3 linked regions of the Elephas maximus indicus genome follow. The protein of the gene in region 2 binds, or shares a complex with, the protein of the main gene of each other region. Links are inferred from orthologs where the notes say so. Each region holds a gene or a part of one and is shown on either strand. Other genes may lie near its edges.

Region 1 (10,900 bases), on a different chromosome or scaffold from region 2:
GTGACACCAAATTGCTCCCCAAAGAGACCGTAACGTTTACAACCCACCATACATATATGGAAACCCTGGAGGTGTAGTGGTTAAGTGCTACAGCTGCTGACCAAAGGGCTGGCAGTTCGAATCCACCAGGAGCTCCTTGGAAACTCGATAGGGCAGTTCTACTCTGTCCTATAGGGTCGCTATGAGTCGGAATCGACTTGACAGCACTAGGTATACATATATACCCTAGTGGCGTAGTGGTTAAGTGCTATGTCTGCTAACCAAAATGTTGGCAGTTCAAATACGCTAGGCGGTCCTTGGAAACTCTATGGGGCAGTTCTTGCTGTGAGTCAGAATCGACTTCATGGCAATGTGTTATGCATACATAGGAGCCCTGGTGGTGCAGCGATTAAGAGCTTGGCTGCTAACCAAAAGGTCAGGAGTTTGAATCCACCAGCCACTCCTTGGAAACTCTATGGGGCAGTTCTACTCTGTCCTATAGGGTCACTATGAGTCAGAATTGACTTGACAGCAATGGGCTTGGTTTTCTTTTACATACGTATAAAAGAATACGGAAGCCCTGGTAGAGTATTAAGAGCTATGGCTGCTGACCAAAAGGTCAGCAGTTTGAATTCACCAGGCGCTCCCTGGTAACCCTATGGGGCAGGTCTACTCTGTCCTATAGGGAGAGTCTCCATGAGTCAGAATCAACTCGATGGCAATGGGTTTGGTTTTGGTTTATATAAGAATGCTGGTCTCCCCTCATCCTCAGCAACATTTTGTCATTCTCATGGGGAGAGGGGATTGATATCTTTTTGTCATTTTTATTTCCAACTTTCCTCTTTTGGAAGAAATATTCTTTTGATACGTGGTATGGAAAAAAAATCCCATTTTTCTGACACTGAACTGTAGGAATGGACTCAATTTAGTCTATTCATTCTGATTAGTTAATCAGAATGACTCTAACCCCTCTGTTCCCACGCCAGCTGCGCATGCAGCAATTCTTCCTCTGACTCCAACCGCCCAGAGCTAGGTCAGACCTCACAAGTTAAAGGATGTAGCCCTCTAGACTGCGGAGTCTGCCCAAGACCTAAGACACCAGCTGACCTGCTGGCTACAAGTTATGGGTTTTCCCACTAGCCCTTCAGGATGCCAGCCATAAGCTCTGAAGTCTCCAGGGCCCCCCTCACTTCTGACCTGCTGGCTATAAATTCAGGGGTTCCTTCTACTCCTTCAGCATACCAGCTGTAAGCTCAGGTATGCCCAGCCCCCCTCACTTCGGAGCACACAAAAAGTCCTATACGTTAAGATTACGATTTTATTATAGGAAAAAGGATATAAATGAAGAGATGCCTACAGCAAGGTCTGGGAGGGTTCGCAACAAGAAGCTTCCGTGTCCCCAAAAACATGAGATACCCCCCCATTCACATCCATGTCTTTCACCAACCAGGAAGCCTAGGGGGTTTCTGTGTCCAGAGACTTCACTGGGGTTTCATTATACAGTCATGATTTATTGGCAATCATGCTCCCCCACCTCCCATATCATTTGTTGTCTTTCTGGACCAGCCAGCCCCCACCTGAGTCACCTTATTAGCGTAAACCCTAAGCTGTGGTCTAGAAGCCTCATCAAAGACACTTCAGTCACTGGGGAAGTTCCAAGGTTTTATTTAAAATTGTATTTTAGATGAAGATTTACAGAGAAAATTAGTTTCTCATTAAACAATTAATACACATATTGTTTTGTGACGTTGGTTGCCCCACCATGACATGTCAACACTCTCCCCTTCTTGACCCTGGGTTCCTGGTTACCAGTTTTCTTGTCCCCACCTGCCTTCTTGTCCTTGCCCCTGAGCTGGTGTGCCCATTTAGTCTCATTTTGTTTTATGGGCCTGTCTAATCTTTGGCTGAAGGGTGAACCTCAGGAGTGACTTCATTACTGAGCTATAAGGGTATTCGGGGCCATATTCTCGGGGTTTCTCAAGTCTCTGTCAGACCAGTAAGTCTGGTAAAACCCAGTGCCATTTAGTCTGGTAGGATGACATTTAACCAAGACATGGATAGACTCAACTTTTGTAATAGAGATGGACCTAATGTTTTAATTTTGCTGTTTTGGTTTTGGTACCAAGATTAAGGCTAGCCTCATAGAGTGTGGCTCTCTTTATCTTGTTCATATTCAGGTGTAGTCTGCGTAGGATAGCCTTTTTAAAACCGTCTGGGCCTGGGCACTTTGGGAGTTGGAGTAGATCTACATCATTTAAATTTTATTTATGATTATTGGTATACTTATTTTTAGGCCACGTTTTATAATTTGTATTCTTCTTGAAAATTGCCCCATTCATGTAGATTTTCCAATGTATTGGCATAAAAGTGTTCTTATGATTTCTAAAATTTTTACTGTTGTGCCCTTTTCACTGTTTATAATATTACTCATTCGTATCATTTTCTTGATCAATCTTACCAGAAATTTGCCTATTTTATTAGTCTTTAACTGAACACCAGCTTTTGGTTTCCAGAATTAACTCTTTTTTGTTTTCTATTTTACTCATTTCTGCTTTTATCTTTATTGTTACTTCCTTCCTTCTGCTTTCTCTGGGTTAATTTAGTTATTTTTCTACCTCCTAAATTAGCTGCTTTAAATTTTGTTTTCTTGTATTGCAATAAGTACACTTAAGGCTATAAATTCCCCCTCTAATTACTGCTTTTGCAGTACCCAGCAAGCTTTGATGTCAGGCTTTTATTGTCAATTCATATCTAAATACAGTAATTTCCATATTGGTTTTCTTTTTGATCCAAATGTATTTTTCAGTTTCTAAATGTATATTCTTTTTCTTTTAAAAAATGTATTATAAAATCAACATACAAAAAGTATAAAAATTAATATAATGAACACCTGTGTAACACTCAGGTACACATCACCCAGCTTAATAAGACTTAAATGTTCATTTATAATTTTTAATCTTATTTTTCATAGGTAAAGTATGTATGTACGTACATGGTTAAAAAAAATTTATCCCATCTCTATGTCTCCTTCTTAGAAGCAACTGCATTTACTTATTTCAGTCATCTATGTGTTGTATAGGTTTCTCTGGTTGCTGACTTTTAATTTCACTGCGCTGTGGTTAGTGAATGTGGTCTGTAGATTCTTTGGAATTCATCAAGACTTCCTTTGTGGCCAGGTACATAGTCAATTTCTGTAATTGTTCCAAGTATATTTGAGAAGAACGGATATACATAAGATCTTTTTCTGAAATACAAATCTGATCCCATCACTTCACCTCCAATAGCATCTATGCTCTTCAGGTGAAAGACCACAACCTCCTTAGCACACGGTTTGGCCTGAAGCTTCCCTAAGGCCTTGGTCATCTCCCTCGTACTCAACAACTTTACGTACGTGTAAAAAAAAAAAAAATGTAACTCTCTAAAATCTCATACCTTTTAGGGGCAGCTTTCAGAAGAATTTTGAACTATCAGAGATGCCCTGCAGCAGACAACCCAATGTCTGGCACAACCAAGGTCCTAATCGATGCTCATTGAACCAACTAGAGAATGGGTTGTCTAATTAGTGTAAAGTCATACTGAGGCTGGATACTCACCTTGTGTGGATCATTCCCTCACCCTGAACTCCAATTCTTGCTCTCTATTTATTCCTCTTGAACCTGATCCATTCATTGAGACCTCTGGTAACTATACTCCTTCTCTTTCTTCTATTTGTCAGCACTTTCCCTCCTTCCTCTCTGTGTCTCCTCTACCATGGTGGATCATTTCAAAGATACTCCCACCAACACACTCGAGTTATTCTGCCTTCTAGAGTCCGTTACTTATGCCCTAAGCCTCTGATACTTTTCAGTCTTGCACAGTGGTGTCACTTGGGGGGTAAGGACCACACTGGGTGACACTGTCAGAGGGGGTGACACCAAAATGACTGTCTATAAAAATACCTTATAGTTAGTTGTAACAACAAAAACAGTTTTCATAAGCTCAGCTCACATGCATCGGCTAAAACTATGCTAATTTACCTTTGAACCTTCTAATGTGCCCAGTTAGAGGTGTCATTATTACCCAATCACAATGACTCCTGGAATCATGTGGCTTCCTCTGCATGTCTTACAAGCACGTGCTGTTGTTTTCGTAGCTGCTGGTTGTTTTTACTGTTGCTGATTTTGTCAAATTTTCTGGTGTTTTAGCTATAATATTTGGTAAGTAGGATTTGTGAACCTATATCAATAATCTTTTTGTGAATGAAGTAGTAATTAAAGGTAAAGAAGGAGTGACATACAGGGATTATGATTTACCAGTAACATTATACAAAAACATTACTGAAGATTCTTTATGGTCTGATATGGGAGAAAGTCCATGGCGGGGGGTGACACTAACCCTAGCGACACCGCTGGTCTTGCAACCCTTTCTTCTCTTTCTACCCCTTTCTTGGCTCTTTGACCATGAAATTTTGGAATTCCCAGTGTTATTTATTCTTGGTCGTCAACTTTTCTCTCTCTACACATCAGGAAAGCCCCTGCTTCATTACAAAAAGAGTCTCTATCAAGGCTAAACAAGTGCTGTCATGGAAGAACACTGGCCCTGTGTTGCCAGACTTCCCTGTTTTTCATGAATTGTCAGATATTTCAGGGTTTTATGTGGATGCCTCAACCTTTAAATATTGATAATGAATTGAAAAGTTTACAACACACTGTGAAGGACAAGCAAAACATAGATGTTGCATCCTGAGGGCTGTTTTCTTCTCTTATTTGACTGCCCCTAAAACAGTTTAACCCACAGTTTATGAAGTACTTTATCAGTAATGGTAGCTTACACTTATCAAGGTCTTACTGTGTTCTAGGCAATCTTCGAAGTGGCTTGTGTGTACAAACTCATTCAATATTCGCAACAACACTGTCAACAAGGTGCTGTTATCTCTACTTTATAGATGAGCAAACTGGTTGAGAGTTTGAGTACTTTGTCCTGAATCTCAGAAATAGTGAGTTGAAGAGTTCAAGATTTAACTACTACTGTCTACTGCTTTTCCCCATTCAACAGATGAGGAAACTGAGGCCTAGAAAGGTAAAAGCAATTAAACTTAGGCACTTGACTAAAGTAAAATGGCTGCTTTAGATTTTGGGGCCCTACATTATCTTCCCTTCGTTTTACTATATATAGTTTTACAAGAGGTTATCAAGACTCTTCCTGAAACAATTTCTCGAGAAGAAGACCTTAATGCTGACTCTTATCTAGGTCTCCTAGGCAACTGCTGACAAGAAAAATTTCACGTGAACAATCTGTTTCTAAGAGAGAAATGTCCTGTAGCCTTCCTCCTTCTGGCCCCACTTCCAGTAACCTGACTTGCATTAATCTAAGTTTGTGATGTTCAATCAAAATAGTACAGCTCATGTCTTTTGTTCTGACCCTTTAAAAGGTCTTCACAGCTTTGTTATTTTGGAAGTATTTGTTCTGTCTGTAAAATTAGGTGTTTTCTCTAGTCGAACCTACAAAAAATTTCCTTGCTTTATTTTAACAGAATAAGCATTTGTAGGGATCTGAATCTAGCCTCACTGAGATAGATACTTGCATTTACTACTGTTCTATAATAGTTACCTCTTTCTCTTGCTAGGAGTTCTGGTGGTGCAGTGGTTAAGAGCTATGGCTGCTAACCAAAAGGCCAGCAGTTCAGGTTCACCAATGGCTCCTTGGAAGCCCTATGGGGCAGTTCTGCTTTGTCCTAAAGGGTTGCTATGAGTCAGACTCGACAAAAGCAATGGATTTTCCCCCAGCTACACTGCATCCTCAGCCCTCAGACTAGGGACTGGCGTACAAACTTTTGTAAAATAAGTGCCCTGGAAATTCAAAGCAATTCATTCACTTCCATTAACCACCTCATTTACTCCTCACAACATTCCCTAGGTAAGATATTAAAAAAAAAAAAAAGATATTAGAGAATATTTAATCAGCACTTGATATTCATTATCTTTTTTAAACGTCATGAAACTATGTCCTAGGAACGGTTACTATCTCCATCTAATGGAAGAAAAAACAGTCTCAGAGAGGTTCAGTGACTTGCCCAAAATCCTACAACTAATAAGTGACAGAGCCAGTTCAGGTTACATGACGACGGAGCCCTCATTCCTTTCCACGAGGCCACACTGTCAGTTCTACAGATGGGGAAACTGAGGCCCAGGTCAGGGTACTAGCTATGCTCGCAGAACCCTGGCCATCGAGGGGGAGCACAGACTGCACTCCCGCTCTTCCTTTCCTTCGGTCGAGCGGGGCCCCTGCGGTGCGGGAGGCAGAGGACGACAAATGCGAAATCCTTTCCCATAAAAGACACCAACAGAAGTGCGGGAAGTCGCGCAAGGCTCCGACCTCGGCGCGCGCATCACTGAGGCCCAGTGGTGACCTAACGGACAGAGCCCGAAGTACCATGACAACGGGGCGGGCGGGAGCACAGGAAGTGCGTCACCCAAAAGGAGGGAAGAATCGGCTGGCGGAGACCAATGGGAGCGCAGCGTTCGCGTTCGCCCCGCCTTGAAGGAGGTCCCGAGTCGACCTGTCGGCCATCTCCGCCTTCACAGTCTACGCTGGGCTCGAGTGTCGTATTTGGTAATCCGGGAAGGGGGACTGGAGGCTGGCGCGAAAGGAAGAGGGATGTCTGGAAAGGCGAGGGGATATGTGAGGTGGGGTTCGGCGAGACAGGAAGTGGGGGTCAGGCTCTGCGTCGACCATGTGCGGTGATGGAGTGTGGCGCTCTGGAGGAGGGCTTGGGGCTTCTTATTTACTGATGGGGAAACTGAGGTCCCGAGAGGGGGAGCAGAGGCAAGTAGACGGGGGTCTAGCCTCATTAGCACACACACATACACCTACAAATTTTTGCATCGTCATATCCGGTGAAGAAAATATTGTTAATCGTAATATTAAGTGAAAAAAACAAAATTACAAACTTTTAACCGCGATTACATCCTTCGCTGACCACCCTCTCGGGTAATCTCGCGGTCCTCTGTGCACCCCTCAATTTTGTGTACAGTACTCCTTACTTAGTACAAGTCCACAGTCCCTTATTTTAAATCCCCGAGGTAAGACGTGTTCAGAATACAGGATTTCTCGGATTTTAGAAAGGTAATATTGTTGTGTTGTTGAATATGGTGAGTATATTGTGTTATGCCATACCCTCAGCGGGGTCTGGGGCAGCGTCCTGAAATCAAATACATTAATATTTCCATATTAAAATATGTGCATATTTACACTACCGGGGTAAATAACAATCATAAATAGCCTCAACGAAAGTCAGCTCAGATTTAAAACCTTTTTTTTTTTTAATTTTGGCTTTCAGATCTTTTGAAATTTAGGAATTGCAGATGAGGGACGTGGATCATAATTTTATTGTCCCACTCGTTTTTCTTGCTTGCCTGGACTGGGATTGCCTTGAGAACAGGAACTGTGGTTTTGTATCCCCACTGTCACTAACTCCTTGTGTCACTTTGTGTCCCTCTCAGCCTCAGTTTCCTCATCCTTTTCACATAAGGTCCTTGTAAGGATTAAATGAGACTATTCATGAAGCATTAGCTCTCTTGTCGAGCACATACCACAAATGTTTGTGACTCAGATGTGCTTATTCTACAAACATTTCTATTTTAAAATGATCTGATGTTTTTTGGTGAACAGAGGTTCTTAATTTTAATGAAGTTGAATTTATCAGTCTATTCCTTTACAGTTTGTGCTTCTTCTGTATCTTTCAAAGAAATTCACCCTACCCTTGGGTAAAAAACCCTCACAACTAGACCAATAAGCAACATCATGATAAATGGAGTAAATAATTGAAGTTGTCAAAGATTTCGTTTTACTTGGATCCACAATCAACGCCCATGGAAGCAACAGTAGAGAAATCAGATGACGTGTCACATTGGGCAAATCTGCTGCAAAAGACCTCTATATAGTGTTAAACTGCAAAGATGTCACCTTCAAGACTAAGGTGTACTTGACCCAAGCCATGGTATTTTCACTTGCCTCATATGCATGCAAAAGCTGGACAATGAATAAGGAAGACCGAAGAAGAATCGATGCATTTGAATTGTGGTATTTGGCGAAGAATATTGAATATACTGCCAGAAGAATGAACAAATCTGTCTTAGAAGAAGTATATCCAGAATGCTCCTTAGAAGTGAGGATGAAGAGTCTTCGTCACACATACTTTGGACATGTTATCAGGAGGTACCAGTCCCTGGAGAAGGATATCATGCTTGGTTAAGTAGGGAGTCAGTGAAAAAGAGGAAGACCCTCAACGAGATGGATTGACACAGTGGCTCCAATAACGGGCTCAAACATAGCAACAATTGCCAGGATGGTGAGGAACCAGGCAGTGTTTTGTTTTGTTGTACATGGGGTAGCTATAAGTTGGAACTGACTCAAAGGCACCTAACAACAAACAACGCTTAGGTTGGTCATAAAGATATTCTCCTTTATTGTAATCCAAAAACTTTATACCTTTCTTAATTTTAGGACCTTAATCCTCCAAGAACTGATATTTTGAATAGTGTGAAGCAGGGGTCTAATTTCATTTTTTTCCCCTACATATGGATAATTAGTTATCCCAGCACCTTTTGTTGAGAAGTTTGCTTTCATTTGGAGTTCCATTTCTTTAACATCAAGTATGGATATGTTTATATTTTTCTGTTTCTGAGTTCTCTATTCTGCTCCATTGGTCTTATTTGTCTATCCCTGTTTACCATCACCACACTTTATTTATTACTCTTGAAATAAATCTAACATCTAGTAGGACAAGTCCTCCTGCCTTTTCTCTCCAGGAGTTTCTTGGCTCTCTTTGCCTTTACATTTCCATCTTGTCAAATCGCATGTTGTTGTTAGGTGCCATCGAGCTGGTTCTGACTCATTGTGACCCTGTGTACCACAGAATAAAACACTGTCTGGTCCTGCACCATCCTCACAATTGTTGTTATGCTTGAGCCCGTTGTTGCAGCCACTGTGTCAGTCCATCTCGTTGATGGCCTTCCTCGTTTCTGCTGACCTTCTATTTTACCAAGCATGATGTCCTTCTCCAGGGACTAGTCCCTCCTGACACCATGTCCAAAATATGTAAGATGTAGTCTCGCCATCCTTCCTTCTAAGAAGCATTCTGGTTGTAATTCTTCCAAGACAGATTTGTTCGTTCTTTTTGGCAGTCCATCGTGTATTATGTATTCTTCGCCAACACCACAATTCAAAGGCGTCAATTGCTCCTCGGTCTTCCTTATTCATTGTCCAGCTTTCGCATGTATATGATGCAATTGAAGACACCATGGCTTGGGTCAGGTGCACCTTAATCTTCAAGGTGACATCTTTGCTTTTCAACACTTTGAAGAGGTCTTTTGCAGCAGATTTGCTCAATGCAGTGCGTCTTGATTTCTTGACTACTGCTTCTGTGGGTGTCGATTATGGATCCAAGTAAAATGAAATTCTTGACAATTTCAATCTTTTCTCCATTTACCGTAAAGTTGCTTATTGCTCCAGTTGTGAGGATTTTTGTTTTCTTTATGTTGAGTTGTAATCCGTACCGAAGGCTGTGGTCTTTGATCTTCATCAGTAAGTGCTTCAAGTCCTCTTCACTTTCAGCAAGCAAGGTTGTGTCATCTGCATAACGCAGGTTGTTGATGAATCTTTCTCCAATCCCGATGCCCCGTTCTTCTTCATCTAGTCCAGCTTCTCGGATTATTTGCTTGGTATACGGTTGGAGTAGGTATGTTGAAAGAATACAACCCTGAGGCACACCTTTCCTGACTTTAAACCACTCAGTATGCCCTCGTTCTGTCCGAACAACCGCCTCTTGATCTATGTACAGGCTCCTCATGAGCACAATTAAGTGTTCTGGAATTCCCGTTCTTTGCAGTGTTACCCATAATTTGTTATGATTCACACAGTCGAATGCCTTTGCATAATCAATAAAACACAGGTAAACATCCTTCTGGCATTCTCTGCTTTCAGCCAGGATCCATCTGACATCAGCAATGATATCCCTGGTTCCACATCCTCTTCTGAATCCGGCCTGAGTTTCTGGCAGTTCCTGTGGATGTACTGCTGCAGCCACTTTTGAATGATCTTCAGCAAAATTTTGCTTGTGTGTGATATTAATGATATTGTTGGATAATTTCCACATTTGGTTGGGTCATCTTTCTTGGGAATAGCCATAAATAGGGATCTCTTCCAATTGGTTGGCCAGGTAACTGTCTTCCAAATTTCTTGGCATAGACGAGTGAGCACTTACAGTGCTGCATCTGTTTGTTGAAACATCTCACTTGATATTCCATCAATTCCTGGAGCCTTGTTTTTCGCCAGTGCCTTCAGAGCAGATTGGACATCTTTCTTCAGTACCATCGGTTCCTGATCATATGCTACCTCTTGAAACGGTTGAAAGTCAACTAATTCTTTTTGTTGTAATGACTCTGTGTATTCCTTCCATCTTATTTTGATGCTTTCTGCATCATTTAATATTTTTTCCATAGAATTCTTCACCATTGCAACTTGGGGTTTGAGTTTTTTCTTCAGTTCTTTCTGCTTGAGAAATACTGAGTGTGTTCTTCCCTTTTGGTTTTCTGTCTCCAGCTCTTTGCACATGTCATTGTAATACTTTGTCTTCTTGAGCCACCCTTTGAAATCTTCTGTTCAGTTCTTTTACTTCGTCATTTCTTCCTTTTGCTTTAGCTGCTTGACGTTCTAGAGCAAGTTTCAGAGTCTCTTCTGATATCCATCTTGGTCTGTTCTTTCTTTCCTGTGTTTTCAATGACCTCTTGCTTTTTTTCATGTATAATGTCCTTGATATCATTCCACAACTTGTCTGGTCTTCGGTTATTAGTGTCCTGCGTGCCAAATCTATTCTTGAGATGGTCTCTAAATTCAGATGGGATATACTCAAGGTCATTCTTTGGCTCTCCTGGACTTGTTG
Region 2 (11,637 bases):
AAAGGGCACAATCTTTCAGACTGCCAGGTCTGCCCAAGACCTCAGATGCCAGTTGCAAGCTTGGGAGTCCAGCCAACACACTCACTTCTGACCTGTGGCTATAAATGTGGGTAGTTCCCTTTACCCAGCTGTAAGCCTGGCGGTCCCTAGCCTCACTTCTGACCTACTGGCTACTTCTACTCCCTCGGGTTTGATAATTTGCTGGAATGATTCAACAGAACTCACGGAAAGCAGTACACTTATGATTACGGTTTTATTACAGCAAAAAGGATACAACTCAGGACCAATATAAAGAAGAGACACATAGGACAAGGTATGGGAGGATTCCCATCATGAAGCTTCCGTGTCCCAAAGGACGGGCTACCCTCCCATGTGCAACCAGAAAGCCTGTGAAGCTTCTGTGCCCAGAGCCTTTCTTGGGGTCTCATTACGTAGGCATGATTGATTAATCATGCCCCAACCCTCCCTAGTTGATGTCACTCACTGGTTTTTTTGAGCTGCCTAGGCCCCACCCAGAAGGCATTTAATTAGCGTAAACCCTCAGGTGTAGTCTGGATGCTTCATAAAAGATAATCAATGGAGAATTTTCAAGGTTTTAGAGGTTATCTCTTAGAAACCTAGGACAAAGACCAAATTCTTTGGGTAAAGTTAATGTAAACCCCACAGGCCTTAGAAAGCTCTGAACCCTAGCTAGGTTTAAGCAGAGAAAATTTGGGTGTCAGGAAGATTGTTTCAGCTCAGTGATGCGTGTGTGTGCGCACGCGCATGTGTGAGAGAGAGGCTTATTATAGGTGGAATAGTAGTTTAATGCAATACGACTTGCTCAAACACCTGCATAGTTCTGTTTATAAGTGTGTGTAGATGACAACTCAAGTACAAAGAGTCTTTTTTTCAGCATTTTCTGAGTACCTACTATATACTAGGTTCTGAGGTGACAAGATAAATACAACAAGGTGTTTGCTTTCCTAAAGCTCTCATGGATTTAGAAGATTTGTAATTATTATTAGGTACTTGGGAAATCCTCGTGGCATAGTGGTTAAGTGCTATAGCTGCTAACCAAAAGTTCAGCAGTTTGAATCCACCAGGTGCTCCTTGGAGACTCTATGGGGCAGTTCTACTCTGTCCTAAAGGGTTGCTAGGAGTCGGAATTGACTCGACTGCAATGGTTTTTTTGTGTGTGTGTGGACATAGAAGAAGAAAGGATTGATTAACAGTAGATGGTAATCAGGGAAGCCCTTGAAAAGGAGGTGACATTTTAGATGAGCTTTGATGGAGTAGGCCCTTAGGGAGGGAAGATAATTTTGGGCTGGGAGGGGGTAAAATGAGCACAGTTAGGAGATGTGAGAATGTATGACTAGAACAAATGCTGCATAATAAAAAATAGTTGAGGATGAAGCTCTTTTTCCATTAACCAGCAACTAATAGAACTACTGAGCTCTACTCTATATTTCGTGACAAGGGTAAGACACTTGGGTCTCCTTAACAGCAGCAAGAATGGTTTGAAGAAGCGAAGAATGTGTTTTAAAATGGTGATTCTTTTTTAATTTAATTTTTTTCTTTGTTAGAATAAATGCATGAGCTGCTCTGACGGTTTTTGCTATTTAATTTGCTCACTGAAGAACAATGTGAAGTTAAAAAGCCTTATTTAGCTTTTTTTTGGTATGCTATTAAAAAAAAGAAAATATTAACCATAGCAACCCTGACTTGTCTGTGCCTACAAGGTGCTGTCTGTGGAAAGGCTTTTTGAAATCAGTCCTTATCACTTCCTTTAGTACATCATTTCAAATTAAATGATTTTAAAATCCCTTTTTCCTCAGACATGCTTTTGAAATAAGCTGTAGTTCCTATATATACTTTTAGAGTGAGGCGTTTATGACTCTGGTTCATCGGTTATTGTGTAGACAAAATAAGACATAAAAAATGGTTAACACAAGGTTGGCACAGCAGCCAGGAATAAATAAATGTCAGTGTTCTCCCTTAGCCTCAGCTTTCCTTTCATCACATTTTTCATTTTTTATTCCTTAAATCACCTTGTAATGTCTATGTGCTAGATAAAAAAAAAAAAAATTTTTTTTTTTTTTTTTAGATCCATCCTCTGTTCTAAGGACGCAGAATGAGGTGAAGCACTCAAGTTGTTGTTGTCAGGTACTATCGAGTCAGTTCCGACTCATAGTGACCCTATGCACAACAGAACGAAACACTGCCCGGTCCTGCCCCATCCTCACAGTTGTTGCTATGCCTGAGCCCATTGTTGCAGCCATTGTGTCAATCCATCTTGTTGAGGGTCTTCCTCTTTTTCGCTGACCCTCTGCTTTACCAAGCATGATGCCCTTCCCCGGGGACTGATCCCTCCTGACAACACATCCAAAGTATGTGAGACCTAGTCTCGCCATCCTTGTTTCCAAGGAACATCCTGGTTGTATTTCTTCCAAGACAGATTTGTTTGTTCTTTTCACAGTCCATGGTATATTCAATATTCTTCTTCCACACCACAATTCAAAGGCATCAATTATTCTTTGGTCTTCCTTATTCATTGTCCAGCTTTTGCATGCATACGATGCTATTGAAAACACCTTGGCTTGTGTCAGGCACACCTTAGTCCTCAAGGTGACATCTTTGCTTTGTAACACTTTAAAGAGATCTCTTGCAGCTGATTTCCCCAATGCAATGCATTTTTTGATTTCTTGACTACTGCTTCCATGGGTGTTGATTGTAGGTCCAAGTAAAATGAAATCCTTGACAACTTCAATCCTTTCTCCATTTATCATGATGTCGCTTATTGGTCCACCTGTGAGGATTTTTGTTTGCTTCATGCTGAGTTGCAATACATGCTGAAGGCTGTGGTCTTTAATCTTCATCGGTAAGTTCTTCAAGTCTTCACTTTCAGCAAGGAAGGTTGTGTCATTTGCATAATGCAGGTTGTTAATAAGTCTTCCTCCAATCCTGACGCCCCGTTCTTCTTCATATAGTCCAGCTTCTCGGATTATGTGCTCAGCACACAGATTGAACAGGTGTGGTGAAAGGATATGACCCTGACGCACACCTTTCCTGACCTTCAACCATGCAGCATCCCCTTGTTCTGTTCGAACAACTGCCTCTTGATCCAGGTACAGATTCCTCATGAGCACGATTAAGTTTTCCAGAATTCCCATTCTCCACAATGTTATCCATAATTTGTTATGACCCACATAGTCAAATTCCTTTGCACAGTCAATAAAACACAGGTAAACATCTTTCTGGTATTGTCTGCTTTCAGCCAGGATCCATCTGACATCAGCAATGATATCCCTGGTTCCACATCCTCTTCTAAATCCGGCTTGAATTTCTGGCAGTTCCCCTTCTACGTACTGCCACAGCCACTTTTGAATGATCTTCAGCAAAATTTTGCTTGCCTGTGATATTAATGATATTATTTGATAATTTTTGCATTCGGTTGGATCACCCTTCTTGGGAATAGGCATAAATATCGATCTCTTCCAGTCAGTTGGCCAGGTAGCTGTCTTGATTAACTCAAGTTATTACCCACCAATTTAGCTTGCAGCGTGTGCCTGTGTGTAAGGAACCCTGGTGGTGTAGTGGTTAAAATAATAGAAACCACCAAAGGCTCTCTGGGAGAAAGATGTGGCAGTCTGTCTCCATAAAGATTTACAGTATTGGAAACCCTATGGGGTCGCTATGAATCAGAATTGACTCCATGGCAGTAGGCTTGAGCTTGGTGTGCCTGTGCATGCATTCAGAAGGCCATTCAGAAGGCTATCGGCTAACCCAAGCATCCAACTTGAGCCTTAGAAGGGGCTCAAAGGAGTTGGCTATGGTTCAGAGGTGTGGCTTCTGACAGCCCTAAGGGCCCAACAACCTTCTCACCTGAGTGTGCTTGAGTACAGCATTTTCCAAAGAAGTAGGAAAGACATTTATTCATTCATTCATTTAACAAATATTGGTAGCCGCTTACTAGTGTGAGGTGCTGAGTAAGAATGCCAGCAGGACCAAGGAAGTATTAGAGAGCATGGCTCACTTCCGCAGCTGCAGGTGGCTTGGCATGGCTGGAGTTAAATCTATTCTCAGTTTTTGTTGAGGCAAACAAGAGAAACCAAAACCTGAGAGGGAAAAGGAGGAAGTAGTCCAAAGGTAATTTGTGTGTTGGTGAGAATTTGTCACTTCAGAATTAGTCAGAACGGCCTAGACATTTCTTTCAAAAGCCTTATAACTTCCTTTAGGGAATTGCCAAACTGACTAATCCATTACTTTAACACAATGAGTCCCAAACTTTACTGCTCAATAGAATCACCTGAGAAGCTTTAAAAAACACTGATGCCCAGGCCACACCCCATACCAATTACATCAGAAGGCCTGGGGGGGTGGGAGCTAGGCTTCAGTACTTTTTAAAGACCCCCACGTGATCATTAACCGGCAGCAAAATTGTGGAGCTACTGCCTTAGGGCATAATCCAGTTTTGTTCAGTTAAACACACACACACACTCTTGTGTTGGTTCAGGTTCCAAGCATTTCTTAAATTGTTTTTGCTGTCTTCCTGCGTTGGGGGCGGCTGTGAGCAGGAAGAGGATATGGTGTCACCCAGTTAGGAGATGCCACTTTGCTAAACCGATTAGACTAGCTTGCCAACGCTGCACGAGAAGTGGATTTTTGCTTTGTCATTCTGACTTTGGCTGCTAACACTCCGACTCAGGGAAGGGCGTGGCTTCTCGTAGCTATTAGAAACCACCAACCCTTTCACCTCAGCTCGCCTCAGTCCGGCATGTGCCTCGGAGTCTAAGGTGGCCCTTCTGAGGAAGAGCCTGACGTCCGACTGCTCGAACATAGTAAGCTCTGCGGTGATTGAAAACGGACAAAGCGCTAGGCCTGTAGCCTGTGAGCACGTTGGAGACTGTTTGCTTGCAGGGAGTGTGAGCTTTGTGCCTGTGCGGTGCATTATGATTCCAGGGAAAGGGGAGATATTTTAAGGCGGGTCCCAAAAGTGGGATGAGGCTTTTCTAAGGCAGGTGAGCTTCTTGGCAGCGTTCAGAGATGAGTTTCATCTTGGTCAGTTAACGCTTCAGCATATGGTAGGGGAGGCTGGCACTCTGTCGGCTGATGATTTCCTTCCTCTAGCTCTTGTTTGCAGAATATCAGAGAAAATGGGTTTTTGTATAATTTCTTAGTACACGACTCTTGAAATGTAGATAATAATCCGATGAATAGATTGACAGATCCTGGACAGCATTAAGAAAGTGTAAATGTGTAAGAATGCCTTCCCAAGGAAGTTTTACATCATTTAATCATCAGAAATTTTGAGAGGTTGGCAAAGCATATGTAATCGCCATGTTTTTACAGGTGGGGGAAAGCAAGGCTCAGAAAGTTCAAGTGAGTTGCCCAGTTTGACAGAGATTATGAAGTGCGGCAGCTACTGGACTCCAGTGTTTATTATCTCGGTGTATCAGGCAGTACTGGGTAGTGGTTCGGAGCATAAACCTGAGCCACACTCCCTGGGTTTGCGTTCTGGTTTTGCTGTTCCCTAACTAGCTTTGTGTTCTTGGTTATGTTACATAGCTTTTCTGTGTTTCAGTTAACGTATCTGTGAAATGGACCTGGGGCTTGATAATACCTACTTCAAAAGGCTAGTTGTAAAGATTAAATGTTTAATACATACAAAGCATTATGGAAGCGTTAGCTGCTATTGTCATTATTGTTAACGCTAAACAAATGTACGTTTGAGTGTTGATTTTGTCTCATGAATGGCCCTGACATCGTTGTAACTGAATTGTTTTTAATTCTATCACTGACTCATTCTCTGCCTCAGTTCACCCTTTGTAAAACTGAATTATTAGTTCTGGTCTTATCTAGAATTTTGATGCGGTGCTTCGAAGTTCTTAAGTAAAAGCACCCTAAATGGGCAGTGTTGGTAATTTTGCTTCGTGGTTTCAAATTTCTAGAAAACATTGGAAGCTGGATTTTGGCATTCTATATAGGTGCAGAGTTCAAAGCCCAATTAAATGGGGAAGCGTTTTGTGAAAGCTGAGAAAATTTTGTCTTAAATTCTTGCTGGAAAAACGGGACGGTTAATTTTAGCAGAGACTTGCTATGATTTAACTGACGTTTCTATCTAGCCTTGAGGCCATGTTTTCAGTTAATACAGAGATTGTCCAGGTCCAAAATCCAAATCTGACTAGGCTTTAGTCATGGTCAGAAATGGAGCAAGTCATGCTAACTTGCAGGGGAGTCACCGCCGCCTTTCCAGAGGGCACACAGTGCACTGGAAGGCCCCGGGCCCCGGAAGCTCCGCCCCTCCACAGTTCCCGCCTCGGTCGGCTGTAAGAAAGACCTTACAGACTCCACTGTCTGCTTTTTTTGTGCTACAGAGGACGGGCTGGTCCTGGAAGGAGCGCTCTCGGCATTGACCTTGGAAACCAAAGTGCCCGTGGTGTTTGTGAAACAGAGAAAGATAGGCGGCCATGATCAGACCTTGAAGGTAGGAGATACTGACGTTTCTTTTACCCGCCTTAACTAGGAATGAGCTCAGCGAGCCCATTGTGGCAGCTTCCTGTTAAAGGCAGTGTTCTGTGAATGAACCTGAAAACGGAGCCCATCCTTAGAAAATGACAAAGAAACACTTGTGGGATAACTAACATTGTTAGTTCACATTGATCAGACGATGGGTAAATTTAAAGACGGGAAGCTTGAAACGGGAATATGTAACAATTTTCATATTTTAAAATAAATTAAAAAAATTGCCTCTCCCCCTGCCTCCCTCCCAGTCAGTCTAAATAACTTAAAAAATTTTAGCGGCTGTGTAAACTTTTGATTTTGCGTCTTTTAGGGAAGTACTGTGAAAAGGGAGTCAGGAAATTCTTATTCTCCTCAAGTCACCCCTGTCTCTTCCTCTTTAGTTCCCCGGGGTGGGGGCGGGGGCGGGGGGGGGGGCCAGAAACCCCCAGGCTTCACTGAAGAAAGCAACCAGAAAACTCCTGGGGTGAGTATATATCTTTTCAGAAATCTCTTTTTTTTTTAGCCCAGAGCTAACAATTGGGTGGAGGAAAAAAAAAAAGGGAACAAGAAATCTTCCTTTTGGTTCTTGACAGGATGGGACACCCTCCGCCCCTTATGACCAGCCACTGACCGCTGGAAAAATGCATGGAAGCTAAATGCATGTTTAAGGCTAGATGTATGAGTGATGTTCTACTGGTTATCATTTTAGAAAGTTCTAGTCCTCATCCATTTGTAGCTGTGTAGTTTTTAAGAAATGGAACTGATACATGAACATTGTCTACTTAGCAGTAAACCCGAGGCCTGATTTGAATGAAAGAATGTGTTTAGGTGTGTGTGCCTTTAAGAAATTATTAACAATTTATATTTTTATGTATTACCTTTTCTTGCTTCTGAAAGAATCTCATTTAACTTTTTAAGAATGGGTGTAGGGAATGGAGCTAGACTTCAAAGACAGCAAGTGAATGGGAAATAATTAAAGGAGATAAGAAGACTTTTAACTTTGTTTGAAATACATTGTTACTCAGACCTTTAGTTTGCAAGTAAAATGAGACAAGTCTATTAATACTCCTTTCTGTCAGATTATTCTATTCTATCCACCTGTGTCATAAACTTATGCTTAAAAGTTACATAGGCATTTGGTCTTTATATAATTCTACAGATGCTCCTGGTTTTAACATCAATGGGAGTAAAAAGAATCACCATTTTTATAAGCTTTGGGACCCACTTTATTAACATGATTTGATGTTTTCAGTTCCATATGATCATAGTTAATTTCAGATCCTTAATGAGGTGCAATACCATGAATGAAAAGCATACCACCAAGGCATACTTAAAACAAAAATCATTTAGCACATCCCTTTTAAGTAAATTTACTACTCTACTATGTATCATTTGATTTATTTTTGTTTTTTGATGAGTGCTAAGAAATGGAACAAGAGACACAACAGGGGTAAGGACTATCAATTTGAAGTTTGCGGATTTCCAGCCAGTTATTATCCACATTCGGTGATAAATCTTTAGGGAGCTTTGGGTTTGAGTGGAGAAGTGTATTTAATTAGTGGAGAGTGAGTACTTATAGAAGTTGTGTCCTAATCTTAAAGTTCATACCTTTAAGTTAAGACTTCATACTTTACTTGCTGCTTAATCAAGTAATGGTGAGGGAGTCTTTAGAATATCCTTTTTGCCTTTCTCCTTTTAATATTGTTCCTTCCCTTCATGTCCATTTCCCTCTTCTTCTCAATAAATAACAACAGCAAAACCTACCTTGCTTTCACAGTGCACTACTGTAGAAGAGGGAGAGAGAATCCCAAAGGCAGGATCTGGTGAGCCTAGATGACTACCTAAAGGATAAAGACTTTAAAGAAGTGTGTTTAAAAAAAAGTGTAGAATCCCCTGGAGTGCTTTTTAAATGTGTATACCTTTTTTTTTTTATACCTGAGCTTTACCTGTGTTCTTCTTGAATAGACCCTCTTTATTTTCTTTTCAAAAAACTCCCTCAGATAATTCTTAAGAATATCAAATTTGAGGCTGCTTTAGAGGAGTTTGGTCAAGATCAGTTGATAAAATAATTAGAATTGGAGAAAACAAAGATAGTAGTTTGAAAACCATTGTTGTCGAGTTGATTCTGACTCATAGTGACCCTATAGGACAGAGTAGAACTGCCCCATGGAGTTTCCAAGGAGCGGTAGAAGATTGGAACTGCCAAACTTCTGATTAGCAGCCATAGCTCTTAACTGTGGCACCACCATGGCAAATGGTAACTCAACAGGGGTGTAACGCTTCACACCTGCTTAGAAAAATAGAGAAATGTGTTACCTAAGGGCCAGGGCTTGTATGTCCATGCGTAAAATTAGAACTGGGGAGCTGCTAAATGCTAGAACCTATGAATAGAGTTCCTATTGCTCAAAGACATCTGACTTTTATAAACATCTTAGTTTTTAAGCCCAAGATTACAAGCATTCTTATAGGGAGTCTCATACGTAGATCAGTATCTTCAGAATTCCAGATTTCGAAACCACTCATATAAGTGACCATTGGTGGTGTTGAACTGAATGAAAAAGTCCTTGTTGGAATATTAAGTGCCAGACAGAGTTAAGACTTAGTAGTTTAAGGTAACTTGTCTCAAAACTGCCTTAAAACTAGTAGCACAATTTAGATAATTTCTTTAAGGCAGTAATAGAGATGACAGATACAACACAGTGGGTGATTAACATCCAAATGAATTGTGCAGGCAGTCGGAGTAGGAGCTCAGATGTGATCATATTGTAGTCGGGTTCAGCGGTGTGACGTTCCAGCCTAGGGAGGTAGATACTGAACAAAAGGTAGATCTCCTTTCAAGTCTGGCTTCTAAAGTTACTAGAAACCAGACTGTTAATGAATAGACATCAGAAATAAGTGGTATTTGAATAACTTTCCAGCCACTCCACTCAGTACTGTACCAAACTTCCAGAAAACTTGATTTCCTTTGATTCTTTGAGGTAATTCCATTTCCGTGGTGGAGGATTAGTAGTGTATCTGCTTTTGGCCTGGTTTAGGGTTGAGACCTAAAGGAGAAGATAAAGGAAATAAACAGGCTCCTTGGGTGGTGCAAATGGTTAACTAACGCAGCTGCTAAGCAAAAGGTTGGAGGTTTGAGTGTACCCAGAGGTGCCTCAGAAGAAAGGCCTAGCAATCTACTTCTGAAAAACCAGCCATTGAAGACTGTGTGGAGCACAGTTCTGCTCTGACACACAGGGGCCACCATGAGTTGGAATCGACTCGAGGGCAACTGGAGGTGGTGGTGGTAGTGAAGGCTTACCTTAATAAGAATTTGGAACTTTTGGGGATAAGGACTACAAACAAGATTTAAAAGAGGAAGTGGATTGTTAGGAATGTGAATAAATTTATCTGGTACACAGAATAGTAAAATTTTACTGGTTGAATCCATGTTGAAATCCACGTTGAACTCTATTCATAGAGCCAGCATTTAGCAGCTCTGCAGTTTCGATTTTACACGTGGACATACAGGTCCTGGCCATAGGTAGCATATTTCTCTGTTCTTCTATGCAGGTATAAAGTGTTACACCCCTATCAAGTACTCGCTTCTTCCACTTCTACCAAGTGACAACACAGACCTCTTTGCTGTGTAGCGTTATTATTCTTACATGGTTGGGGCTTCACATTTGATCTTGCCTTTCCTCTTTGTTCACTTACCAGGACTCAACTATTTCCCACACATCTGCGAGTTGCCTCTATTAACTTTTGCCCAGACAATTTCAGGGCCTCATTTCCTCTTGCCTAAACTATTTCAGCAGTCTCTAACTGGCCTCCTGCTTCTGATCTCCCTCCCTTTCTGTTCCCTTTGCTGCCAGAGTCATCTTCCTGATGGCTGTTTCACTGCCCCTCGATCCCATCCAGGATAGAGTGTACATTCCTTCGCTTGGTATTCTGTACCCTCCAGGGTCTGGCCCCAGCCTGCTTTTCTGGTTATCTCCTCTGCTCCCTCATTTACTGGAGGCTCCTGGGAAGGCTGACTGTTGCAGCTATACTCCCTAAAATTTTCCTCCTTTATTCTGTTCTTTATTTCAATTCTTGACTTATTTTTCTGCCCAAATCTACTTTTTCAGCTGCTCCTGTTCAGGGTACGAGGTCAGGTTTGGCCACTCCTTGCCTCCTCTGTTCTTTCACAGCTTTCCCAGAAATTCCTTATCTCTGGAAAAGGAGGAATCCTGCCAGGGATAATTTTTTGGCTTCCATGTCAGAGGATAGTCAGAACTGACTCAACGACAGTGGGTTTGGTTTTTGGTTTTTTTATGTCAGAGATGCAGAGCTAGTCTTAATCTTTGTGTCTATTAAAAAAAAAACCCCATTGCCGTCGAGTCAATCCCAACTCAGCAACCCTATAGGACAGAGTAGAACTGCCTCATGGTTCCCGAGGAGCACCTGGTGCGTTTGAACTGCCAACCTTTTGGTTAGCAGCCGAGCTCTTAACCACTGTGCCACCAGGCTCCTATTAATGATAGTAGCTAACTTGTATTGAATGCCTTTTATGTGCTAGACTCTAAATGCTGTAATACTTAGTTGAGGTGGTATTATCTAGTTTTACAGATAAGAAAGTGGAGGCCCATGAGAAGTTAAGCAGCATGCCCAGAATTACACAGCCAGTTAGGTGGCAGAGCCAAGATTGGAACCCAGACCTGTATGCGTGTAGAGCTCACACTGGTGTACTCAGACTTCTGGCACTCAGCTTTGGTACTGCTTTGAGGATACATACCTGACCTCCCTGATAAGAATGTATGCCTATGATTCAGGGCTGAGCCCATGTCAACCCTGGTATTCCTAGCTCAGTGTTGGCATGTAGTAGGCATTCATCACTAGCTGCTTGCTGAATTGAACTGCATTCCTCTGTGTCTACTAAATTGCATATTTCCTTTAGGACAAGAATGACAACCAGTGCCATAGAGTTGATTACAACTCGAAGTGATAGCAGAGTAGAACTGCCCCATAGGGTTTTCAAGGCTGTAAATCCATCCAGAGACAGACGGTCATATCCTGCAGAGCCACTGTGAGTTCAAACCGCTGACCTTTCGAAATAGCAGCCAAGCGCCTAACCACTGTGCCACCAGGGCTTCTTACAAAGAATGATACCTTTTTGTAAATGTTTATTGAATGAGT
Region 3 (9,887 bases), on a different chromosome or scaffold from region 2:
TCTATTTGGCTAGGCCGTGATTCCCAGCATTGTGTGATTGTCCATTTTGTCATCAGATGTGGTTTACCCGTGTGTTGTAAATCCTGCCTCTATGGTGTTAATGAGGTGGGATAGGCAGCTGTTATGTTAATGAGGCAGGACTCAATCTACAAGACTGGATTGTGTCTTGAGTCAATCTCTTTTGATATAAAAGACAGGAGCAGGCAGACGGGGGACCTCATACCAAGAAAGCAGCACCAGGAGCAGAATGTATCCTTTGGACCCAGGGTTCCTGCTTGGAGAAGCTTCTGGTCCAGGGGAAGATTAATGACAAGGACCTTCCTCCAGAGTTGACAGAGAAAGCCTTCCCCTGAAGCTGATGCCCTGAATTTGGACTTGTAGCCTACTGGACTGTGAGAGAATAGATTTCTCTTTGTTAAAGCCATTCACTTGTGGTACTTCTGTTACAGCAGCACTAGATGACTAAGAAGGAATTTGGTACCGAGAGTAGGGTGCTGCTCTAACAGATACCTAAAATGTGGAAGCAGTTTTGAAACTGTGGATGGATAGAAGACTCAGAGGAAGTGAGGAGAACTGTTAATACCAGAGAAGGCACAGATGGTAAGGAACAGCAGCAGAGGACCAGCTGCAGCAGAGGATTGGCAGCAGCAGAAACAGGAGACGAGCACTACACAGCGCTAGAACCGACCCACGGGGCAAGAGAGCTGAGTGCCTGTGCGCAGGAGGCCTTCTGGTGGAGTGGGGTGCCTCCAGGCACCTACTGGTGGAGCTAGGCTTGCTGACCCACGGATCAAGAGAGCTAAGTGCCTTCTGGCCAAAGTTTACTGGTGGAGTGGGGTGCCTGCAGGCACTTATCAGTAGAGCTACAGAGGTTTGGAACACTTACCCCAGCAGGGCAGATACAGGCAGAGAGGCCGAGGGGCCAAAAGGCCAACAAACCAGGAAGCAGAAGCGGAAGGGACAAGGAACACAAGAAGCTGGACTGCCTCAGTCTCAAAAGGTATGGCCATGACCTCTGGGGTTTCAAAAGGTGGAGCCATGGCCTCTGGTGTTTCTAAGGGTGCAGTGGCCCCTCAGATGGACTAGGAAAATGGTGCACCTAAAGCCAAGGGAACGGAGCTGCGGTTCCAGTGGCCTGGAAGGCAAAGGTAAAGCCCAGGGCTGAGGGGCCTCCACTTAGAATCTGGAGAGTGTGGCCAATACCCAGAGTGGGGAGGGCAAGGCCATTGTGTAAATTGTCTCAGAGAACAGAGGATTACTTTCAGAGCCTTGAGGGCTAACGTAACGTGTTCTGCTAACTTGCTTGATGCCTGTTACCCCTTCTTTTCCTCCAGTTTCTCCCATTTGTAATGGAAATGTCTAGCTTGAGCCTGTTTTGCCATTGTACTTGGGAAGCAGATAACTTATATTCTAGATTTCACAGATGAAGAGGAATTTTTGGATTTTGGACTTGGAGTTAAGACTTTTGCTATGATATAATGGAGTTAATATGTTTTACATGCGGGGTTCTTGCACAGAGAAGCTCCTGGTCCAGGGGATGATTAATGACAAGGACCTTCCTCTAGAGCCGACAGAGAAGGCCTTCCCTTGGAGCTGAGGCCCTGAATTCGGACTTCTAGCCTATTAAGACTGTAAGAGAATAGATTTCTCTTTGTTAAAGCCATCTACTTGTGGTATTTCTACTATAGCAGCACTAGATAACTAAGACAGTTATCAAGGGTACAAAAAGACACGAAGGAAACTTAAATGCATATTGCTAAAAGAAGCCAGTCTGAAAAAGCTACGTACAGTATGACTCTAATTATATGATATTCTGGAAAAGGCAAAACGAAAGAGACAGATCAATGGTTGCCAGGAGTTGGGGGGTGAGGGGTAGAGGAGAGATGAACAGGAGGACCACAGGGCATTTTTAGGGCAGTGAAACTATTTATATGATACTGTAATGGGGGACACATGACATGATGCATTTGTCTAAACCTATAGGACTATACAACACAAAGAGTGAAACTTGATAACTATGGACTTTAGTTAATAATAATGTGTCAATATTGGTTAATCAGTTCTAAAAATTGTACCACAGGAATGGAAGATGTTAATAATAAGAGAAACTGCAGGGCAGGAAGGGTGTATGAGGGAACGCTGTTCTTTCTGCACACTTTCTCCATAAACTTAAAAAAGTATGCTTAAAAAAAAAAACACTATGTGCTAGATGTTCTCCTCAAAACAACCTTGTGTGCTAAATATCATCTCGTCATATAGATGATGTCAGTATTAAAAAAACAATAACAGGTTTAAAATAGCCCCACACACACAAAAAAGAAAGTCTAAGAAGAGGCTTCCAACCAAATGGCTGTAGTGCTTGGAAATGCCCTGTCTCATCAAAATCCACCTCCCCACGCCTTCCACCAGACAAGGAATGCACTGTTGCTGCTTAATTAAAATATTCTTCCAAGAGGGATAAATATTAGGTAGTCTATCATGTGGTCTAATCCAGGAAGATCTTTGTTAGGACCCAGTAGATACAATCAAGAGAGATTTTATTGCCAACCATTAAAATATACGCATGGGAGAGGGGGCCTGGAGGCCCTAGGTAGTGCAGACAGTTAAGTGCTCATTTACTAGCCGAAAACTTGGCAGTTCTAACCCACCCAGAGGTGCCACGGAAGACAGGCCTGGGTGATCTACTTAGGAAAGGTCACAGCCTTGAAAACCTTATAGAGCAGTTCTATGCTGCATACACGGGGTTGCCATGAGTGGAATTGACTAGATGGCTTCTAACAACAACAACAGTAATAGTATGAAGGCCAGAAGCATGGAGCGTTTGAGTATTTTTTAACACTTGTCTTTATATTTCACTGCCTGAACAGGAAACCACAAACGCCCTATCAGATCACCCTGAAGGTACATGACTGGTATGCCATGATGTCACTGGGAAGTTAAGCTTCATTAAAAATATATTTCTCATTTATCTCCCAAGCAAAAAAATCACGATTGAATTTTATTTTTAAAATAACTTTAACAGCACCTTGATATACACATCTGTGTTCTTCCAGACGTTTTTCTGATTTGCGTTTCACTGCAGTAGACATCTTTCTATGTACAGTATTGTGCAGTCATCAAATATTTCCCTTAACATGACTCCCAGAAGGGAGCCAATCATTACAGACAACTCTGCCAGGGCCTGTGAGAGGTGCTTCAAAAACCCATTTCACTTAATGACCTGAACCCAGCATTATTACTCTCATTTGGTTGACATGGAAGCTGAAACTTGGGGTGTCCGTAGCCTTCCAGTGTCATACAGGCTTTTAATCTAGGTCCATCTGATTCCAAAACCTTAACTTTTTCAACGACATCATGTCTATATTCTCTCTACATCAACATATGGTTCATAAGATCAGTCTCTGGAGGCAGACATCCTAATCCTAAGTTCAGATCCCACATCTACCGCTTATTTGCTGTGCGACCTTAAGACAGTGCTGAATCTTCTCTGTGCCTCAGTTTCTTCATCTGAGTGAAGAGGAAGGTAACAAATGCAGACCTCATTGGGTTGTGGAGATTAAAAGAATACACGTAAATCACCTGGAACAGGGTTTGACCGTATTATACCTTTTTACAATCATTAGTTATCGTCATGTACATTACTGTGTTTTCATTGCCATCATCACCACCACAGTCTCTCCCCAAATACCCATGGCCTTCAGTAATTATCTGAGGTGAGGTGAGGATGTCTTCTCTCTGCAGTGCCTGAAATCCTATTTTGTCACCTGCATTTTTCTGGAATGCAGCCCTGATGATGAAGTGGTTAAGCGCTTGGCTGCTGAAAGGTCACTGGTTTATACCCACCAGGCACTCTGCAGAACAAAGATAAGACAGTCTGTTTCCATAAAGATTAAACCAAAAAACCAAACCAAACCCACTGCCATCAAGTCGATTCCGACTCATAGTGACCTTATAGGACAGTGTAGAACTGCCCCATGGGGTTTCTATAAAGATTACAGCCTTGGAAACTCTATGTGGCAGTTCTGCTCTGTCCCATAAAAAAAAAAAAAAAAAGTTGGAATTGCCTCGATGGCAATGGTTTTGGTCTTGGTATTTTTCTGGAAGAAGGGTAGAGGTGTTTTAAGACTTAGAAGTAGTGTCTTTTCTCAGCCATTCTGAGCAATGACCATGTGCTATCTGAGGAAGAGGTCACTGAAGGGCAGTGCTAATGTTCACAGAGTCATGGGGGAGCCTGAGAGCTGGGGCTGCTTGGGAATTTAAACGAATACCTTATCAAGAACAAACTCCGAAGAGCTAGCCCAGCTGTCGACAGTGGCTTTCATCTTTTTATTTTCCATTTCTCCTTTATCTTTTGGTTGCTGAAATTTTTTACTCAGGATACAGCTGATCCTTGTGGAGAGACATTCTGTAGAATTCTAGATTATAGGAGACTCCTTTGAACTTGAGTCTGAATTTTAATTTGCAAAGAAACTTTGAAGCAGATGCATTTTCTCATTGTAAAAAAAAAAAAAAAAAAGACTGCTTGATGATCTGTTTTTCTTAGTAGGCGTCCCTCCCTAAGATTGATTCTTGGGGATATGTTGCTGGATCTTGTGTGGAACAGAAAGTTATTACTAGTAGCTTACCAGACTTGTAGCATATTTGCATCACAACGTGGAATATCATTTTACATTTAGTATTGCAATTCCAATGCCTTTATCAGATTGCATTTTCATATTGGATTACAAAAATTTCATACTACTAACATTTAATGAAATTTTAATAAGGTGGTGTTTTGATATTATTATTCAAATAGTCTGTTCTGAATTGCTTTCCTTTGAATATATCTGCATTAAAGAGGAACTCAACGTGATTTGGTTCTTCACAGAATTTACCCACTTTGTAGAGTAGCTTTAAAAACGCCAAAAGGGAAATTCAGTTTCTTCCTCACAAGTCCATAAATAAAGAAGGAACACACTGCTAAGATCTATATAAGTAATGGGGGCATAATTGCTGGTTCAAGTTAATGAAATGGCTCTTTTTTGGCTATTAAAGAGTTGCACAATTAAAATATATACACACAGCACACACATCATAGATTATGAGGGATGATACCCCTGGGTTCTCTTTTCTTTCTCATTGAGCCTGAAGGCTGATATATTTATTTTTCAGAAATTTAAGAGATTTACATTATCGCATTTCTTGATCAGTGATGCCCAAAATTAAATGGTAATCTCCAGACAGAGTATGTTTCTCCGTAGTATCCTTCTTACCCATTTCTGCTAAAATTGTCCTTGCGGTCCCAAGGCAGTTTACATGAACGTGTGCCTTCCAAAAGATAAACTCAGCTGACCAAGCAAAAAAATTGCACTGAACAGGTTTTGTGTAGTGGTTTTGTCATAATTGTCTAGCTGACGTAATTTAACATAGAGAACACTGAAAGAGAGAAAAGAAGGAAAAATTCCTACTTTCGAGGAAACCCTTCTTTTACCGAACACTTGTTCTTAATCGACTCTTAGGGACATTAGAGAAGGAAACTAGCGGTAATAGTTCAACAGAAGCCGTCACCCTGGAGTTGATTCCAACTCTTAGCGACCCTATAGGACAGAGAACAGCCCCATGGGGTTTCCAAGGAGCGGCTGGTGGATTCCAACCGCCGGTAACCCACTGCCATCGAGTCGATTCCGACTCAGAGGAGGGAGTGGCGAGGTCAGAGCCTCCCTGAGGCAAATCAGAAGCCCTCAGGCTCGCTCACTCTTTTTGCGCCTCCCTGTAGAAATACATGTCTTTCCTCTACCTTTCACCGAGCCCTGGTGGCGCAGTGGCAAAGCGCTCGGCTGCTAACCAGAGATGGGCGGTTGGAATGCAGCAGCCGCTTCTCTGAAACCCTATAGGGCAGTTCTACTCTGTTCTGTAGGGTCGCTATGAGGCAGAATGGGCAGGGTCTCAGCGGGTTTGGTTGCCTTTCACGGCCTTACCTTCCCCTTCACCTCGATTTTCGCCTACATTGATCCTTTGGGTTCCCTCCTTTCACAAATATTCCCGACTTTAAAGTTCTTAATTTTTCTAGAGAGCCTGTTAAATTTGCCTGGACCTGTTTGGTCCTGAATTCAGCAGCACACTTGTTTAGGACTTTCGGTCCTGTTCTCTATTTGTGTTGTTCGGTAAGGACGGACAACAAGTTTAAGTCTAGTAACCGCCACCGCTCCCGCCCGCAGACAGCCCGCGGCTGCGCAGAAACCGCCGCCGCCGGCCCGCGGACGTCCGGGACGCAGTGCGCAGACTCCGCCGACTCGACGCAGCGCTCCGCCCCCGGACCCGCCCACCGGCGCAGGGCTCCGCCCCGGGCCCGCCCACCGACGCAGCGCTCCGCCCTCGGCCCCGCCCAGTCTCGCCCCGAGGCGGATAACGCCGACCCACAATGCCCCGCGCACGCGCGCTGGGATCCCGCCGCCGCCGGTCGCTGGAGCTTTGCTAGCGGCCAGTGTCCGAGCCGGCGTCCGGCCTCAGTAGCCAGATAGCATGTTGCAGAAGTCGAGGGTCCGGGGACGCCCTGGGGCCCCGACGGAGCGGGAGCGGGAGGGCGGCCGCGGCGGAGACAGCCGGCGCCCGCGGGGCGGCGCGGCCGACGAGGCCCCGAGCACCTCCCGCGGGCCGGGCGGCTCGCAGGAGGCCCCCGGCACCGGGTCCCCGGGCGCCCGCTCGGCCCTGGCCGCCCCCGCCGTGGGGCCCAGGTCCCAGAAGCAGCTGGAGGTGAAGGTGGCCGAGCTGGTGCAGTTCTTGCTGATTAAGGACCAGAAGAAGATGCCGGTCAAGCGGACCGAGCTCCTGAGACACGTCGTGGGGGACTACAAGGACGTCTTCCCCGACCTGCTCAGGCTCGCCGCCCAGCGCCTCGAGTACGTCTTCGGGTACAGGCTGGTGGAGCTGGAGCCCAAGAGCAGCACGTACGTCCTGGTCAACACCCTGGAGCCGGTGGAGGAGGACGCGGAGGTGAGAGGGGACCAGGGCACGCCCGGCGCCGGCCTGCTGATGATCGTCTTGGGGCTCATCTTCATGAGGGGCCACACCATCAAGGAGACGGAGGTCTGGGACTTCCTGCGGCGCCTAGGGGTGCACCCCACCAAGAGGCATTCGGTGTTCGGGGACCCGAAGAAGCTCATCACCGAGGACTTTGTGCGCCAGCGTTACCTGGAGTACCGACGGTTACCCCACACTGATCCTGTGGACTATGAATTGCAGTGGGGCCCGCGCACCAACCTGGAAACTACCAAGATGAAAGTCCTTAAGTTTGTGGCCAAAATCCATAACCAAGACCCCAAGGACTGGCCCGTGCAGTACTGTGAGGCTTTGGCAGACGAGGCGGCCAGGGCCAGACCTCAGCCCGGTGTCCCAGCCCCCTCCTCGTGAAGTCCCAGGTAGACTCAGAGGGACTCCTGGGAGGAGGATCCGAGGCCGAAGAGGTGGGGGTGGGAAATAGTTCTGTGACGCTTGACTAGCTTGCGAAGATGTGTTCGTGTTTATTTTGCTAAATTACTTGGTTCCAAATCTACATGTGTAAGGAATTGCTTTGCTTTGTTGTATAGTCTATATTTTTTTGATATAAGAAAATGTTACTACTTCGTAAAACTGATCGTAACATTTCGTGCCCTGTTCTGAAACATATGTAAGAAAAAACACATCAGTAAATTGCTTTGGTGCCAAGTAAAAAACCACAGAGGTATTCTCTGGCCTCTTTACCCCAGTTTGAAGGGAAAAATAAAAAGTCATTATAAATTAAAGTGTAATTGCCTGTATTGTTGTTACCTTAACACAGTCATTGTATTTTTATATGTTTTACGTATTTAAGCATTTTTGGTGGTTCCAAGGAATATATCTTCAGTATTTTCTCTGAAAATATTTATCTTTCTGTATAATATTCATAGTAATTATCTAGCTGGGTTGCTGACAGTTAAGTTCCACTTAGATTTTATCCTTTTTTTCTTTTTCGCTATTACTGTTACTGTAATAAACACTATTTTTGAAGCAGTTAAGCAGTGTGTGTTTTTTTAATCATGTGTCGTGAGAAATTCATTTTGGCTGGAAACCAGCATCTTAAATAGAAATGAAAAAGACAGTTTGTGCTACATACAGTAACATGAGTAGAGTTTTACAGACCTTTCACTTTAATGTGTGTAAATGTGCATCACACTTTTCACTGTGGGTCACAGAAGACTTTGTGAAACTGTAGTGATTGACCAGGCCTGACCAGGAATCAGCCTGCTTGGGTTCAAATCCTGGCCCCCACCTCTAACTAACTGTAAAAGCTTAGATGGGTTACTTAACCTGGGTATAGGTGTTTCCTCACCTGTAAAATGAGGCTGATGTTGGATATATCATGTGTGATAATTAGATGTGACACACTGCCTGCCGTGGAGGATTTTGGCTGTTATTCCTTAAATTTTTTGAAAATTTGTGTTTTGTTCTTGGTCTGGAGCTGTGGTGGTGCAGTGGTTAAGAGCTCAGCTGCTAAGCAAAGTTGGTAGTTCGAATCCACCAGCCCATCCTCGGAAGCCCTAAGGGGCAGTTCTACCCTGTCCTGTGAGGTTGCTATGAGTTGGAATCCACTCCACAGCAAAGGGTTTGGGAGCTGTTTTTGTTCATTTTTAATTATCTCGGTCTAAGTCATTACTAGAAATGAAATTACTGATTTAAAGGTTATGACCCTACTAGTCTGACCCCATCTTGGGGTTTTATGGCAAACCAAACAGGTGGCACAGGGTAGGGTCAGTGATGAGCACAGCCAACATAGTGGTAAGAGCAGGAACATTACACGCAAGGTCTCCCCAGGGCTGTGAGGCATCGTCGTCTAGAGAAAAGGTTATGCATTTCAAGGTTGTCTGACAACCTGAGTTTGAATTCTAGCTCATTTTAACTTGTCAGCATGGTGGTTTGGGTAGGTTTTAAGCTCTCAGAATCTCAGATTCTTTATCTGTAAAATGGGGAAAATAAAGTGAAACCGGTGAGAGCTGAACTTGATGGGACTGCCTTGTTTTTCCAGGTCTCACAAGTTTTCCACCTTTGACAGTGTAGCTTACCGCTTTTCTCTTGCTCTCTATTAGTGGAAAATACTTGAGTTTTCCTTTTCTGGCAGGTTTCCACGTTACGTGGGTTCCAGCTTTCACAAGTTTTACTGCATATCATGGTGTGTTTTATGAATTAAATGAAATAGTATATTTAAAGTACCTATTTTTTTTTTAATAAGTTAGAGCTCAGTGAATGCTCTAAGAGTTGATTAAAATGTGACTTGATCATTAACATAGTGGTCTTGGACATTGTAAACTCAGAATTTTAGAGCTAGAAAGGATTTTAGAAATCATGTAGCCCAGCCATCTCTTGACACATGTGAAAACTGAAGCCAGAGGACACACATGGAATTAGGAGTAAACTAGGTCAAGGACTCAAATTTGAATCCCTGTTCAGTGCAATCTATTTAGGCTCTGTCTTGGTCATCTAGTGCTGCTGTAACAGAAATGCCACAAGTGGATGGCTTTAACAAAGAGAAATTTATTCTCTCACAGTCTAGTAGGTTACAAGTCCAAATTCAGGGTGTCAGCTCCAGGGGAAGGCCTTCTCTCTTTGTTGGCTCCGGGGGAAGGTCCGTGTCCTCCATCTTCCCCTGGTCGAGGAGCTTCTCAGGCCAGGACTCCGTATCCAAAGGACGCGCTTTGCTCCTGGTGCTGCTTTCTTGGTGGTATGTGGTCCCCAACCCTCTGCTTGCTTCCATTTCCTTGCATCTCTTGAGAGAGAGAAAAGGTGGTGCAGGCCACACCCCAGGGAAACTCCCTTTACCTTGGATCCAGGGAGGTGATCTGAGTAAGGGTGGTGTTACAATCTCACCCAAATCCTTTCAAGGTAAAATTACAATC

The links. The genes of interacting proteins can lie anywhere in the genome.
Region 1: EID3 (region 2) and NSMCE1 share a complex: the UniProt entries of both Homo sapiens proteins name them as parts of the SMC5-SMC6 complex. The link is inferred for Elephas maximus indicus from reciprocal best matches to the Homo sapiens genes EID3 and NSMCE1.
Region 3: EID3 (region 2) and NSMCE3 share a complex: the UniProt entries of both Homo sapiens proteins name them as parts of the SMC5-SMC6 complex. The link is inferred for Elephas maximus indicus from reciprocal best matches to the Homo sapiens genes EID3 and NSMCE3.

The regions. Positions count from the first base shown.
Region 1 is NC_064830.1:87,667,130-87,678,029, reverse strand, and holds the start of NSMCE1 (non-structural maintenance of chromosomes element 1 homolog), read left to right. Parts: upstream 1-6,495; 5' UTR 6,496-6,570; intron 6,571-6,580; exon of another isoform or gene 6,581-6,644; intron 6,645-10,900. UniProt on the Homo sapiens protein: RING-type zinc finger-containing E3 ubiquitin ligase that assembles with melanoma antigen protein (MAGE) to catalyze the direct transfer of ubiquitin from E2 ubiquitin-conjugating enzyme to a specific substrate.
Region 2 is NC_064822.1:170,974,912-170,986,548, forward strand, and holds the start of EID3 (EP300-interacting inhibitor of differentiation 3), read left to right. Parts: upstream 1-6,472; 5' UTR 6,473-11,637. UniProt on the Homo sapiens protein: Tissue-specific component of the SMC5-SMC6 complex, a complex involved in repair of DNA double-strand breaks by homologous recombination.
Region 3 is NC_064831.1:94,934,488-94,944,374, forward strand, and holds NSMCE3 (non-structural maintenance of chromosomes element 3 homolog), read left to right. Parts: upstream 1-6,379; 5' UTR 6,380-6,501; coding exon 6,502-7,389; 3' UTR 7,390-7,982; downstream 7,983-9,887. UniProt on the Homo sapiens protein: Component of the SMC5-SMC6 complex, a complex involved in repair of DNA double-strand breaks by homologous recombination. The complex may promote sister chromatid homologous recombination by recruiting the SMC1-SMC3 cohesin complex to double-strand breaks.